3 linked regions of the Rattus norvegicus genome follow. The protein of the gene in region 3 interacts with the protein of the main gene of each other region in a pairwise test. Links are inferred from orthologs where the notes say so. Each region holds a gene or a part of one and is shown on either strand. Other genes may lie near its edges.

Region 1 (4,968 bases), on a different chromosome or scaffold from region 3:
GACACAACCCAAAATGACTTGGAAAGAAAGTCCCACCTGCCCACCCCAACCCCCCAAACAGGGTTTCTCTCTGTACAAACTCTGGCTGTCCTGGAACTCACTCTGTAGACCAGGTTGGCCTCTTCGAACTCAGACGTCCCCCTGCCTCTGCTTCCTGAGTGCTGGAATTAAAGGCCTGTACCATTACTGCCCAACAGGAAGAGTCTTAATGGAGGACTGTTTAGATTGGATGGCTAAGACTCTTTCTCATTGGGAATGGTTTCAGAAGGAAGTGGGTTTTAACTTTGTGAGGTTGGTGTCACCTCTAGTCTTGTTGAGGTGATATTGTGTTCTATAGTAAATGAAATTAGTTCTCTTATGAGTCTTGATAGGCTGTTTGTCAACATTGGACTCCAATCACTTCCAGGATTAGAAGACAACTTTGACTGTGTTGTTCTTCAAGGTTGTCAGATAACTACTTCCTCCCTGGTAGTTTGTCTTGTTGCCGTGTCTTCAGCTTGACCTGGCCTTTCATTGTCCGGCAGCTATACCCTCCCTACCATGGTATACCTTCCCCAACACAGTATACCCTCACCCACATGGTGCACCCTCCCCCACATGGTATAACCTCCCCCACATGGTACACCCTCCCCCACATGGTGTACCCTCCCCAACACAGTACACCCTCCCCCACGTGGTGTACCCTCCCTACCACACCAGGTACAGTCTCCCTCCACCTGAACTTTTTTCTTTTCTTTCTGGTAGTGTTAGGGATCGAGCCCAGGACCTTGTGCACACTGAATAAAAGCTCTATCACTGAGACACATACATAGATCCCCAGCCATCTAAGACTTGTTCAAAGTTAACACCATTAAAAAGTTCTTGAACACCCTAACCTCTCCATTCTCAGCTCCACCTTCTGTAGGGAGAGTTTACAGGTGGATGTATTTGCACACAATGAAAGAATAACAGAAGTCAAGGTTTGCCAACAATACAGACTAAATACTTTATTAGGTTCCAAAATGAGAAAATGGTAGCGTTCACCTATTTTAGTATAAATCTACCACCCTCCGCAAAGAGCCTGCCTTAGCATCTACAGCGCCCCAGTCGTGGTAGCGCCGGTACTCTTGAGGCCTCAGCAGATACTGCCGGCCTCGGTAGTTAGACATCTCATAGAGGACCCAGCAGCCCTCTAGCACGTGCAGCGAGCGCACCTCACTGAGGTGGAAGCGGTCCTGGATGCAGGAGCAGTCTTCACTCAGCTCCATCATGACGCCTTTGTGATCTTCTTTCTCATACAGACGCATCCTGTGGGAACCTGTCTGCTTGGGTCACACAAAGAAAGATGAGAAAAGAGCAGTTGAGTCTCTTCCAGAACTCACCCAAGCTAAACAACGGGTGAGGCAGGGGGCTGTTGGAGTAAGATCTGAGCCTGCGAGATTTTGGAGAGCTATTCATGGATGGGTCTCCTGCTCGCATTAGAGACGCCCAGGTTTCTTTTCATTTAGAACAGTGGTTCTCAATCTATAGGTCCAATGACCTGTTTACAGTGATGGCTTAAGACCATCGGAAAACACGGGTATCTATATTATGATACACGACAGTAGCAAAATTACAGTTAGGAAGTAGCAACAAAAGGAATTTTATGGCTAGGGGTCACCACAACATAAGGAACTTTTTTAAACGGTTGTGGCATTAGGAGAGTTGAGAACCCACTGATCTAGGAGGTGGGACTTATAAGATATTACAAGTGAATTTGAGCATATCAAAAATTAAAATATCTTAATTCACAATTTCTTATATTCATTCTAAGCTGTATGTTGGAGGGTATACAAATACATATTTTAACTAGTATTTTTTTAGTTATATATATTTTTATACATAAAAATATATAATTTTTATATATAAAATAGGATTTTTTATTTATATATATTTTTGTTTTTTGAGAATTTCATATCATTTCCATCTGTCCCATTCTGTTTATTTTATAACCTAGATTACCATCAAACTTAAAATACTTTTGTCTCAGCTTCCTGGACCCTAGGAATCCAGGCTATCACTATGCCTGGCTAAAGTGGAGTTCTGAAAAATCACACACTTCTGTGGAAAGTTAATTTAAATAACCGCTTATAATGAGAACTGAGCCGATCTTCAAAACTAAGGAAAATTATCATTTGAGTTCTGCCCGTACAGTTTCTGATCTCCGTACTTTTCAATGTTTTCTACTCCACAATAAAGTTTAATTAACTCCCTTACCAGGAATCCCTTTATTAAATACATAAAAATCAATCTGATGAGTGTAATTACCCTCTCATTCCCAACTAGTTTTGTTTTATATCCCTGCATAAGATTACATTCGTTGGGACAACTTTTGATTAATCTAATGGTAGCAAAGAAAATTAAAAAAAAACAAAACAAAAAACAACTGGACCTTCTGAAAGTGGATTCTTCCTTATAATTCTGTTTTCCTGCCTGTATTCTCTTAGACTTAGGCAGGCATTTGAGGACCACTTAACACTTAGATACTCAGAAAAAACAAACAAACAAACAGACAGACAGACAGACAGACAAACAAACCCTATTCTCTGGATCAGTAAAACAGTGAGGACCCCTCGGCAGCAAGAAATGAAATCAAACAGGACTCACATGGGGGATGAGGCGGCAGGAGCGAATGGAGTCGCTGAAACCCATCCACTGCTGGTAGTCAGGGTAGTCCCCGCGTCGCAGGAAGTACTGGTGGCCCTGGTAGTTGGGTCGCTCATAGAGCATCCAGCAGCCACTGTCCACGCGGACGGAGTTGCAGCGGCTGAAGTAGGTCTGCAGGTTGGGGCAGTCGCTGCTGCACTCATAGCAGCGGCCCTGGAAGCCTCGGTCCTCGTAGAAGGTGATCTGTAAAGGAAGAGCAATTCTGAATGAGATCTTTTGCTCCTTGGGTCAAGGCGGTTCAGTCTGACTTTTCGTTTAGTTTGCGTTCTGCTCACCTTCCCCATGGCTGGCTGACCCGTGGTGAGTTCAGTGTCCAGGCAGAGCGGGGCCGGTCTATATAGCAGGAGGGTTGTTGCTGTGTTAGCGGAACTGCACAAAAGGGGCCCTCCGGGCTGAGGGAATTTCATGGATGGCTTTTACGGGCTGCATTCAGTGGCGGTGACTGTAGATTCGCCTGGTTCTCTAGTGTGTTCCAACGCTGCCCTGGATGAGCTAGCTGGTCAGAGTTGCTTTATTCCGATTCTTACCGTTTTTTAAATTTATCAGCACATCAGCCTGAACTTTTGACCTGAAGTCCACGTCCCTACATTTTGATTCCATTATACTTGGTAAATCTGGGAGGAATCTGCGCATTCGTAGAAGTATCCCCAGAATTGAGAATGCTGGAATTCTTCGAATACTGCAGCGACTAGTGCAACAGAGACCAGGCGATCTTATTCCTCTTCCCCCTGCTTTTCTTTACAGGGTTTGCTTGTTCAGTACAGGACACAAACCTAGATTTGGATCTTGGCTTTTCCAGGCTATGTTGAGCTGATACTCTAGGACCTAAGCTAGCTTCCACCTTGGTGGTTTCACAGTACGTGAGTCAAAATCCGTCCCTAGTAACCAGCTTGAGTTAAGAACAAAGGAAAAAATTTCTATGGTTGTGAGGCCCAAGACCGTCAAAGATGTACGAAAGTACGAATTACTTGCTTCCAAGGCCAGGGAAGACGTATACCTCCTGTGTCAGAGTCACCTGATCCAGCGCCTCTGCCTAGGACCTGCTATTCAGCTGTTAGATATAAACAGTCTTAATAAGTCCCCTCAGACAAGGTTATTCAAAGTGATTTTGTTTGAACAAAGACAAACCTACAGCCACCCAGAGGCTGCTGAGCACTGTACTGTCCTTGTGGGCCCAAATGACTAACCGTCACTTTAAAATACTTTTTAGCTATTTGTTTATCAAATACAATGTCTCATAGATGCCAGCAGAGCCTTGCTAATAAACACACATACACACACACTCACACACACACACACTTACACACACACACTCACACACATCACGTACACACCACACACACTCACACATATCACATACACACAACACACACACTCACACACATCACATACTCATACATACACACTCACATATATCACATACACACCACACACACACTCACACACACACACACACAGACAACACTAATCAGACTTAGTGGATTAGGACAAACACACACACACTCACACACACACACACTCACACACTCACACACATCACGTACACACCACACACACTCACACACATCACATACTCATACATACACACTCACATATATCACATACACACCACACACACACTCACACACTCACACACATCACACACACTCACACACTCACACACATCACATACACACCACACACACCACACACTCACACATACACACACACATCACACACTCACACATACACACTCATACATATCACATACACACCACACACACTCACACACATCACATACTCATACATACACACTCACATATATCACATACACACCACACACACTCACACACATCACATACTCATACATACACACTCACATATATCACATACACACCACACACACTCACACACACACATCACACACACACTCACACACACACTCACACATACACACACATTACACACTCACATACACACTCACACATATCACATACACACCACACACACTCACACACCACACACACTCACACATACACACTCACACATATATCACATTCATACATACACACACACCACACACAAATGTAGACACCATGAACACACATACACACACACACCACACACACATACATCACACCCACACATCCATACACATCACACACATACACACATACACACACACCACACACACACACAAGCACACACATACATCACACACACATCCATACACACCACACACACACACACACACACATATCACACCACCCTCCAAGCCCAGCACCAAACTGTTACACTGTTACT
Region 2 (4,648 bases), on a different chromosome or scaffold from region 3:
GCTTGCAGAAAAGCTGACCCCTTGGGGTGGGACATTTTGCCTAAAGGAGCACCAGACAGACAGAGACAGTGAAGAAGGTACCATGATTAGATGATTAGACTTTGTCTCCCGGAGGCTGGACTGCTATTGTTATTATGTAATCCTACTGTGCAGTTCCCACTGGAAATCCATGGGCAAGATTACTCTCATTTTTAATGGGTGAAGGGAAACCTGGCTGCATTATTTTCATGTGGACACACAGACGCAGCACTCCCCCAACCCCACCCCCGCCCGTGCTGCCACCGTTGTGTTTCTAGTTTGTTTAAAAGAAAATTCAATTTGCTTTGTGAAGGGGTTGGGGTGTGTGTGTGTGTGTGTGTGTGTGTGTGTGTGTGTGTGTGCAAGTGTGTGTGTGAAGTTGCAGAGGGCAGGCTTTGCCTCTTGAGGCCAGTGAGCCACAGTGCTGTAGGCCTGCTGGTTTTTTGCTCCTGTGAGCTTGCTTCGCTGTGAACTGTTTGAGCATTTCTCATCTTGCCTTTAGCCAATCCCCGGATCTTAGGGCCCGTGTGAGCATGCACTGACTTCTAGTGTGGATCTCCTTCCAGCTCTGACTATCTGAGATCGGCTGAGATGACTGAGGTGATGATGAATGCTCCCTCCATGGAAGAGATTGGCCTCAGCCCCCGCAAGGATGGCCTTTCCTATCAGGTGAGCTCAAACTTCTTGGAGCCTTGTGACTTCTGCCGAGACTGGAAGTAGGCTTGGTTTGAGGAATCCCAGTATCACCTGTAAGAGTCTGAGGGTCCAGGTATTGCCTGTAACAGCTGGGTCACCTTGAGAAAGTCCTTGACTGACAGCGAGCTTCAGTCTCTCCATTTGTCAGAGGAAGCAACCATGGTGTGCATCCTAGAGGAGTATGACAAAGAGTCAAGGTGATGGGGGAGGGTGAGTTGATGGCATTTACAGTGCCGGGACACCTAGGGGTTCAGCAAACAGTGACTGACATCACTAGCTAGCCTTTCTGATCTTCCCCAACAACAGCAGACTGCTCTCCCCAGCCAGGCTTTTCCCAGGAAAAATGCAGCCATGAGGTGAGGCAGCTGATAGGGAAGGGTGGTCTGATAGGAGAATGGCTATCTGTCATCTCAGGGTGATAATTGACCTGCTGAGTCAGAGTTCAAGTTTAAATTGCACAGAGCTGAAGAGGACAGCCTCTTAGAGATGCTGAGAGAGGCTGCGGCCTAGGGATCATCCTGTCTTGTGGGGATAAACATGGAGGACAGCGAGAACAGAATAGAAGGCTTTCTTTTCTCTCCCTCTTGGCCAGTGTGGTGAAGCTTCACTGTGACAGCGAGGTGGAGGGATAGCATCCCAGTCAGTAGGAGCACTTTGGTTACCTCAGGTTTGCAAGCATCAGAGAGTCCCTAGATGGCAAATTTGGAGGAGAGACTATGTGTGAGGGAATGTGTTGAGGCTGAGGGTATTGTGTAAAGCAGCTAGCCTAGGCAAGAAGGAAGGAGCATGAAGTGCAAAGCACTTGGCACACATTACCTTGTTCATTTTTTGCTGTATCCCAAGGGAATGCCCAGTTATACTGAGACCCCAGGCCTGCCGTGTATGGGGGCTTGGATCTCTACTCCTAATGTTTCTGATCTTCTGACATATCCTGTGCCTTCACGCTGGGCTAGTTCTGACCTGAGTCTAGACTTACTCCGGCTGCTTGTTCCTCAGAGCCGTTTCAGGGACAATTATTTTGTAAAGAATGAAACGAATAGAAGAACTGGGCTGGGAGCCATTTGATGGGAGGAGAGTAGTCAAGAAGAAGCCAAGAGGCAAGCTAAGATTGGAAGCAAGTCTTCAGATACCAGACATGCTTGGCGGACTCAGGAATCCCTTTGTTTTGTGTCAACACCTCAGACCTCACTTGTTGGCCTGCAGGGGGTGATGAGGGGCCTAAGGGAAAAGGCTCTTCTAACCTTCCTTTCCTGGAGAGGGACTGAGAAAGGCAGTTGAGAGCCCCTGTGGCCAGGTGGGAGGTACAGAAATTTCCTGACCCACCTGCCTGTGTAGTTTTGGCTACTAATTTCCAAGCCTCTGAGTCAGACTGAATGTCTGGTTACAGGTGAGGGCGTATTTTCAGTTCCGGGTTGTAGATTTCCACCACAGAACCTTTCCGAGCTGTACCTGACAGTGTGTTTCTATTTCTCCTTTAACTATATCCCAGGCAAGAGAGTTAGGCAACCTTCTCAGCCCTGTAACCCTCAGAGCACATCTCGTTGACCGTGGGGGAGCGGGATGGGGGCTGGAGAAAAAGAAAAGCATCTCTGGGTTCTTGCAATATGTAGACACCTCTTGAGAAAAAGGCTTCCAAAGTTTGTTTTTTTCCCCCCTTCATCCCTCTGTATTGAGGGCCCAGTTCCCACAACCCCCAGGAAGTCAATCTCTGTCCCCGGGTGGGGACCACTGCCCCATGTGCAAACACTTTACTCAGAACTGTAGGAACTGTTAAGCCCTCTGGTCATAGATGGCTTCAGACAAGGCTCTTGGTTGTCTAGTGAAAAGGGAAAGTTTCAGTGTTTAGCCAAATGGTATTTACTAGACACTTTCTACATTCAGCCTGACGGGTTGTTGCGCTCAGAGCCTGGGGCTTACGGGAACCAGCATGTACATATACTTCTGGAACACAGCAGTCTACCCGAAACGTGTGGGCACTGATGATGTGTGATGCTACAGAATGTGAGATGTTATGAGGCAGGGAATCAGCGAGCGGTGGGCTTTGAAGGAAAGTGGGAGCCTCAGGGGAAAGGGCGGGCAACCCCATCTCTCACATGTAATTCTACTGCAGCTCCAGATACCCTTTGGCTGCACATGTTTATGCAAAGTGTGGGGCTCTGCCGTGAGCTGGTCTGGCAACTGTCAAATGATGGGTACACCCCGGGCCCCCACAAAGCTGGTGTCCTCAAATTAAAAGCTTTCCCACCAATGCCCCAGGGATTGGCTGGGCCCGGCTCTTAGCTAAAGCCTATCGCCCTGCATGCTTGGGCTCTGCTTGGAGCTAAGGGTGGGAACTGAGTGCTCTCTTCTTGGCTTTACTCCTGAGGATAATAATAGTATGTGGCTTTTACTGAGACCTGCTTTTCCAAGGAACCGAGTGAGGCCTGGAGACAGCAACTCCGACTTGGCAGATGAAATACAATCTCAGGCTTGTGATTTGACCTTGAAACAAGGTCATCATATAAGTGGCCCATTGGACGTTCAGGTCACTCCCCTACCTTACAGACCCACTCAGAATCAAGCTTTGCTGAGTTCTCTATGGTGTATACGGCCATCCTTTCCGTGCCTGTGGAACTTTATACTTTCTAACGATGCTGTGATGGATTTTCAGGACATGGGTCCTGCATTTTCTTCAATGCCAGCCAGGGCCTTGCTATCAACACTGCATCCTTTAGCCATCATCCTTTCCCCGTTCATGTACCGATACATTTACAGAGAAGCTGTAAGGGGAAGGGTATCCTGATTTGGAACTTAGCCATCTTTACCTCTGTGGTGGCCTCTGAAGGTCCTGCTGAACGTTTTATCCCCCAAAGGATTCGGGTTAGGTCTTCTATTATTCTTCAGAAATTCACAGCAATAATTGTTCGTGTTTAGTTTTATTTTACTTCATTTTGGGACGGGGTCTCGTGCATTCTATAGCAAAAGGTGACTTTAAACTCTTAATCCCCCTGCCTCCACCTCTTCAGTGCTGGGCTTATAGGCACAGATCACCATGGCCAGTTTATGTGGTGCCGGGGATCAAACCCAGGGCCTCATGCACGCCAGGCAAGCAGGGTGCCAATGGAGAGCTACGTCCCCAGACCTGAGTTCACGCCATTCTGTGAGCACACATAATAATCTGGAGCTAGTGTCTTGTGTTGTCTCCATATCCATCTGGAGAGTTATTCAAATAAGTGAAACCCACGTGGCACGTTTATTTGGCAGGAATTATCACACCGCACGGGGTGGGTGAGTAAATGGTTACTAGAAAGCCGAGTCCATTTAGCTCCGGCTGTGGGCGGTGGCATGCTCTCAGAGGCTCGTGGGAGGGTCTCTGTGAGGATATTGATGTCTTTAAGGGCTCCATGCCTATGCTGTGTCTATGGGCTTCCCAGTCAGTCACCAGCCTATGGGACAGGAACGTGGGCCATCCAGTGCAAGCCGATCACTGGATGCCTGGTGGAGCCTACTCTTTCTACCGACCCACGACTATAAGGACGTGATGTATGTGTCTTTCTCTGAAGGTTCCTCTCATATTGGCCAGAGCTCTTTATGAGGAAGGTTTCTACTTATTCCCCTATGAACCCTATACTGATGAACCCTAAGGGGGTCCTGGCGTTTTGGCCTTGCTCCCTAACTTCTCCTGGTACAGCATACATAAGCCGTCCTATTTTTTTTTTTTTTTTTTTTTTTGGAGCTGGGGACCGAACCCAGGGCCTTGCGCTTCCTAGGCAAGCGCTCTACCACTGAGCTAAATCCCCAACCCCTGCCGTCCTATTTTTAATTACCATGTTTACACATAGTTTGTTTACTGTACTCTCCCACAATTATCATATACTCTCTAGCTCATGTTGCCCCGGAACTCTCCGAGAAGCTGAGGGTGACCTTAAGCTTCTGACCCTCTCACCCCAAGCGC
Region 3 (5,436 bases):
GCTGTTTGGATGGCCTATCCCCTATCCCTCCCAGGATCACCCTCTCTTTTGTTGCATTGTGAGAAAATTATGGCTAGGAATTTGATCTGGAGCCAGTGTCAGCTTCCGGGTGTGATCTCAGCATCCAAGTGTGAGCTGGGGATGCTGAGACGATAGGCATATTTCACAGTGGGAAGAGCAGCCTATGACTTTCTGCCCACACGGACGCCATTCGGTCTACCAGGTTACAGACAGGAGCAGCACAAACAAGGCCCCTAGATTTTGGTTTATTTAGCCTCACCCAGAATTAAATCGAAGGCTACGATTCATCAAGGGACCAAACCATACACTGTGGACCATGCACCTATCCCATCTCCCAGGAATGCTGCTCCCTCTGGGGTGTGGTGGATTTCTGGAATCACCACGGGAGGTAGACAGGGGATTCACCGGGTTCTGGGTCTGGCAGTCAGGGTTCAACTCTGGCTACCTCTTCCTCTTCCTCGGGGTCAGGAGGTGCAGGAAGCAGGGAGATGTAGACCTCATTGACTTCCGTGTCCAGATGCCGGCCACCCCGCGGTGCCTCCAAGTTAAGGATGCCATCATGGGAGAGAGCAGCTCTGACCCGCCAGGGGTCCACATCTGCAGGCAGGACATAGGTGCGACAGAACTCTCGGGACACGAAGCCGTGGCGGTCCAGACGTTGGGGGTGTCGGGCAGACACCTCTAGCAGGTTGTCCACAGTCCTCACGGTCACCTCATCTGGGGTAAAGTGGCTCACATCCAGAAATGCCTGGAACTTGCCTTCACTGAGCCTGAGCTCTGAGGCCCCTGCCCTGCCGCCCTCCCCAGCTCTGGCGGCCCGGGGCCGAACATAGTAGCCATGGTAGAGGGTGGGGGTCAGGATCTCTTCTGGCAGGAGGCCTGGGAGCAGAGAAAGAAAGAGAAGGCAAGAGGCAGGATGAGGAAGAATGCAGCGGGCACAGACAGGGCTGAAAGGCGATATCTGGAGATATGGGCTAGAAGAGCAGGTGGGAAACTGTAGAGGGGCTGGGAAAGGAGAGGAGATGGTTACGGAAAAAGCGAGCTGGAACTGGAGGACAGAAGCAAAACCAGAAAATACTCTGAAGCGTGCAAGGCCCGGACACCGAAAGCCCTGCCGATCTAAAGTTTGGTCCTGAAGTCTGTTAGCAAGACCAGAGAGAGTCTTGCTTGAGGGGGGAGTCTGGGGTGGGAGATGGCTCACCTCAGGAGTTCACTTAAGCCCCAGGTAGAGTGGAGGCCAGTGAAGCTGGGCAGTGAGCCCAGAATTTCCGGAGGTGGGGGTAGGAAGCATCTGAGCCATACCTTCTCCGAAGCGCTGCTCGCCCAGGCGGCTAGGGTTGGCAAATTCGTACTCGGCAGTGGCTGGGTGGGCGTGTGGCACTGTGCGGCCCGACATGACTGCTGTTGCGACTAGTAGCCCTGATCCCAAGTGTAGCCCCAACAAGATCAAGGCGACCCCTCCAGCTTCAGAGGGAGAGCCAGGACTCAGTCAGAGTGGGGGCGGGGTCTACACCACCCAAAATAGTGCAGAGCGTCTGGGGGATGGGGGAGGGGTGGGAGCCTAAGTCTAGAGTGCAGCTATGAGGGTGTGATCAGCGCAGCCTGGACCCCCTAAGTCCCCTCCTCTGTATACCCTTCAGCTGTCGCATAGGCCTGGAAGAACAGCTGAGGGTCCTGGTCCTAGAGTAAGCTGGGAAGAGAAACTGGTGCGCTGCAGGAGGGCAAGGAGAGGCCTGGTTGGGCCCTTCACCAATTGTACATTCCACATCACCCTTTGTCCTTATCAGTCTCAGGCACTGAGCACATTACTTAGAAAAAAAAAAAAAAAAAGACAATGTTCTATGAGCCACAGAACGTCAAAAATACAAGAAACATTTTCTGTCTTTTTAATGTCAGGGTCTTCTGAACCTAGATCAACTCGGGGTTCCAGTCAGACACCTAGTTCTGACATATTGGTGGTCACAGCTCTCCTCTGGGACTCCACAAAGAGTTAATGTCCCTGGGGCTCAGCCCAGGAAGATTCCAGCCTCTGCCCAGGCCCAAGATAGTTGCTGGCTCAATTCCCCTGGCATGCAAGACTGGAGAGGAGGAGGGGCCCACCAGCAGCTGCTTGGGATTCCAGACCCTGTCCTGGCTCCAGAGAACAAGGATGGGGTGGGTGGGTGCCACTAGGTGTGGACAGAGAGCTAGTGAAACAAGACCGTGACAAGTCACCGGCCAGCTCAGCCCTGCCCCGTGTTTCTCTTTTCTTAGCTCAGTGAGTACTGGGTATGTGTCACCCTGCCAAATCCCTGATCACAAGTCCCCATGAACTGTCGGGGAGCTGGGATAATAAAACCCCTGACATCACCGTTCCAGAAGCTTCACAAGACTGCATATATAAGGGGCAGGCTGTAGCAGCGGCTGAAGGAGTTGACCGGCTAACCGACTCTACACTCATCTAGCCATCATGGACATAGCCATCCACCACCCCTGGATCCGGCGTCCCTTCTTTCCTTTCCACTCCCCAAGCCGCCTCTTTGACCAGTTCTTCGGAGAGCACCTGTTGGAGTCTGACCTCTTCTCTACAGCCACTTCCCTGAGCCCCTTCTACCTTCGGCCACCCTCCTTCCTGCGGGCACCTAGCTGGATTGACACTGGGCTCTCAGAGGTAAGTCTCCCTTGTGCCAGGGCAGGAATACGTATCCTTCCTGGTCTCTCCATTCCTTTGCCCTTTCACCCTGCCTAAGTCATTTTAGGCATGTGCGTGTGCAAAGGTACAGAGAAATGAGGTTACTGTTTTCTTCTTCCTGTGGGCACCTGTTTCTGTTTGATGCTCCTGTTTCCTGGTCCATTTTTCTGTGCATGGTGCCTCTTTCTCCTCTTTCAACTCCTTTACCCACCTCTTTAATAGTCCCAGTCCTGGCAGATTTTATCATCTCAAACTGTAGAGATCAGATAGAAACCCACTCATTCTGGGCTTTTCCTGTCTTCTTTCCTCCCCACTTCCTTTTGATGGAGCTGGATACATCAATCAATATTCTCTCTCTCTCTCTCTCTCTCTCTCTCTCTCTCTCTCTCTCTCTCTTCCTTGGCCTATGACTTTCCGGGTTCCTCGGGGCTGAGACAGTGCATTGACTTCAGTCCATGCCTTAAGAGGACCGCTCTTGGGAAGCCCTGACTTCTTATCTCAGCAGCGTGGGAGATAAGATTAACAGAGGTTGTCACAGATAACACTGTGGTTTAAAAATATTCGCGTGTGAGGAAACAGGAGCTGAGTGAGCAAGGGCTTTGGAAGGACAGAACATTCCAGATCGAGTGGGTTGGAAACTTGGCAGGCAACTGAACAAGAAAAAGGGGGCTTTTGTTTTATAGACAAATGACAAAGCCAGCACTGGGTAGAGAGGCAGCAGATGCCATCCCCAGACCCATTCTTGTGACTAGTCTCCTACTGACCCGTCTTCTTCCCTGTGCCTCTCGGTAAAGTTTGGGACTGATGGATGACTAAGAGGTGTCTTTTGGGTATCACCATGGTGGCTCACATATACCAGTGTCACTAGTCATAAGAGGATTTTTCCCCCAGCAGCCAGGTAGAGGATGGATTACCAGGGCAGGAAGTAAATCTCCTGGACGATGAGCCTTCTCCAGCTTAATGGACATTCTACCATCTTTTCTCCTCCGCCCCCTTGTTATTCTAGATGCGTATGGAGAAGGACAGGTTCTCTGTGAACCTGGACGTGAAGCACTTCTCTCCAGAGGAACTCAAAGTCAAGGTTCTGGGAGACGTGATTGAGGTGCACGGCAAGCACGAAGAGCGCCAGGTGTGTGGACCTTTCTGCCTTCTCTTGTGAATTCATTTAGTGCCCTGCTGGATGCCAGGGACTGCCGCCACCAGCCTCTGAGGCTGGCAGAATTCCAGTCCCCAAACATAAGACTAGATCAGGAGTTATAGATCAATGGCTGGGAAACAAGTTAGGGCTAGATCTGCTGTTAGTGTTGTGGCTGTGCTGAGAGAACTTTCCCCTGGATGTTCCTTTTGATTGCCTTGTCTTGTCCAGTGACGTCAGAATAGCAGAAGAATTCTCAACATTCCCAACCCTCAGCACATCCTAGGCCAATTGAATCTGAAGTTTTAGGGACATAGCTCAGGCATCAACCTTTAAACAAACAAACAAACAAACTCACTCCTTGGGTACTTTCTGTACCCCAAACTGGCAGCCATTGCTCTAGGCACAGTGTGCTGTACATAATGGCTCTGCGAAATGACAGTCACCACGGAGTCGAAGGCAATAAAATCTGTGGCTTTTGAATGTTCAGGATTCCATGCCTCTTCTGCTCAGTTTAATGCTATGCTACTTGGTTTGTCTGCTTTTCAGAGCTTCAGGCTTATGGCTGTGAGGAAGTTAATTGAGATTTGTTTGTGTGGATGCTTGGGGTACTTGGGATTCAATAGGTAACAGGATTAGCATCCACAATTCCTCTTGCATTTTTAGCATTTTTTTTTCTTGACTTCCTAAAAAGGTGTTATGATTGCTTCTTAAAAATTAATGACTTGGGGGGCTGGGGATTTAGCTCAGTGGTAGAGCGCTTACCTAGGAAGCGCAAGGTCCTGGGTTCGGTCCCCAGCTCCGAAAAAAAAGAACCAAAAAAAAAAAAATTAATGACTTGGGGTTGGGGATTTAGCTCAGCGGTAGAGCGTTTGCCTAGCAAGCGCAAGGCCCTGGGTTCAGTCCCCAGCTCCGAAAAAAAGAAAAGAAAAAAAAATTAATGACTTAGGGCCTGGAGAGATGGCTCAGCAGTTAAAAGCACTGACCGCTCTTCCAGAGGTCCTGCATACAATTCCCAGCAACCACATGGTGGCTCACAACCATCTGTAATGGGATCCAATGCCCTCTTCTGGCATGCAGGTGTACATGCAGATAGAGTGCTCATACATAAAATTAAAAAAATCTTAACAAAAAATAACTCAGCTGTGCCGTGGTGGTGCATGCCTTTAATCCCAACATTTGGGAGGCAGAGGTAGACAGATCTAAGTTAGAGGCCAGCTTAGACTACAGAATGAGTTCCAGGAGAGCAGGAGCTCAACAGAGAAACCCTACTTATCTCAAACAAAACAAAAAACAAAAATCAATACCTCGGTTTTGCTCATGATTTAGGACTGGACCACAGTGTCACTGATAGGGTCACCTTATATAATATCAGCAATATTATACTAGAAACATTCTGAGACATTCCTGAGCAATTAGAACAATTTATGGGCTTCCTATAAGATACAGACATACTCGGGGTTGGGGATTTGGCTCAGTGGTAGAGCGTTTGCCTAGGAAGCGCAAGGTCCTGGGTTCGGTCCCCAGCCCTGAAAAAAAGAAAAAAGAAAAAAAAAAAAGATACAGACATACTCAATGCCAAAGTGGGAGTCTAAATTCCATGGTCCAG

Evidence for each region.
Region 1: the proteins of Cryab (region 3) and Crygc interact in binary tests that used the Homo sapiens proteins (3 or more experiments, as listed by UniProt). The link is inferred for Rattus norvegicus from reciprocal best matches to the Homo sapiens genes CRYAB and CRYGC.
Region 2: the proteins of Cryab (region 3) and Lbh interact in a two-hybrid assay, tested with the Homo sapiens proteins (2 studies listed by BioGRID, with this or other methods). The link is inferred for Rattus norvegicus from reciprocal best matches to the Homo sapiens genes CRYAB and LBH.

The regions. Positions count from the first base shown.
Region 1 is NC_086027.1:73,944,372-73,949,339, forward strand, and holds Crygc (gamma-crystallin C), read right to left. Parts: upstream 2,977-4,968; 5' UTR 2,970-2,976; coding exon 2,961-2,969; intron 2,869-2,960; coding exon 2,626-2,868; intron 1,305-2,625; coding exon 1,029-1,304; 3' UTR 961-1,028; downstream 1-960. UniProt on the Homo sapiens protein: Crystallins are the dominant structural components of the vertebrate eye lens.
Region 2 is NC_086024.1:28,337,765-28,342,412, reverse strand, and holds part of Lbh (protein LBH), read left to right. Parts: intron 1-584; coding exon 585-687; intron 688-4,648. UniProt on the Homo sapiens protein: Transcriptional activator which may act in mitogen-activated protein kinase signaling pathway.
Region 3 is NC_086026.1:59,989,390-59,994,825, forward strand, and holds the start of Cryab (alpha-crystallin B chain), read left to right. Parts: upstream 1-2,141; 5' UTR 2,142-2,470; coding exon 2,471-2,671; intron 2,672-3,698; coding exon 3,699-3,821; intron 3,822-5,436. Other genes in the region: Hspb2 (heat shock protein beta-2), read right to left, coding at 446-900, 1,324-1,417. UniProt on the Homo sapiens protein: May contribute to the transparency and refractive index of the lens. Has chaperone-like activity, preventing aggregation of various proteins under a wide range of stress conditions.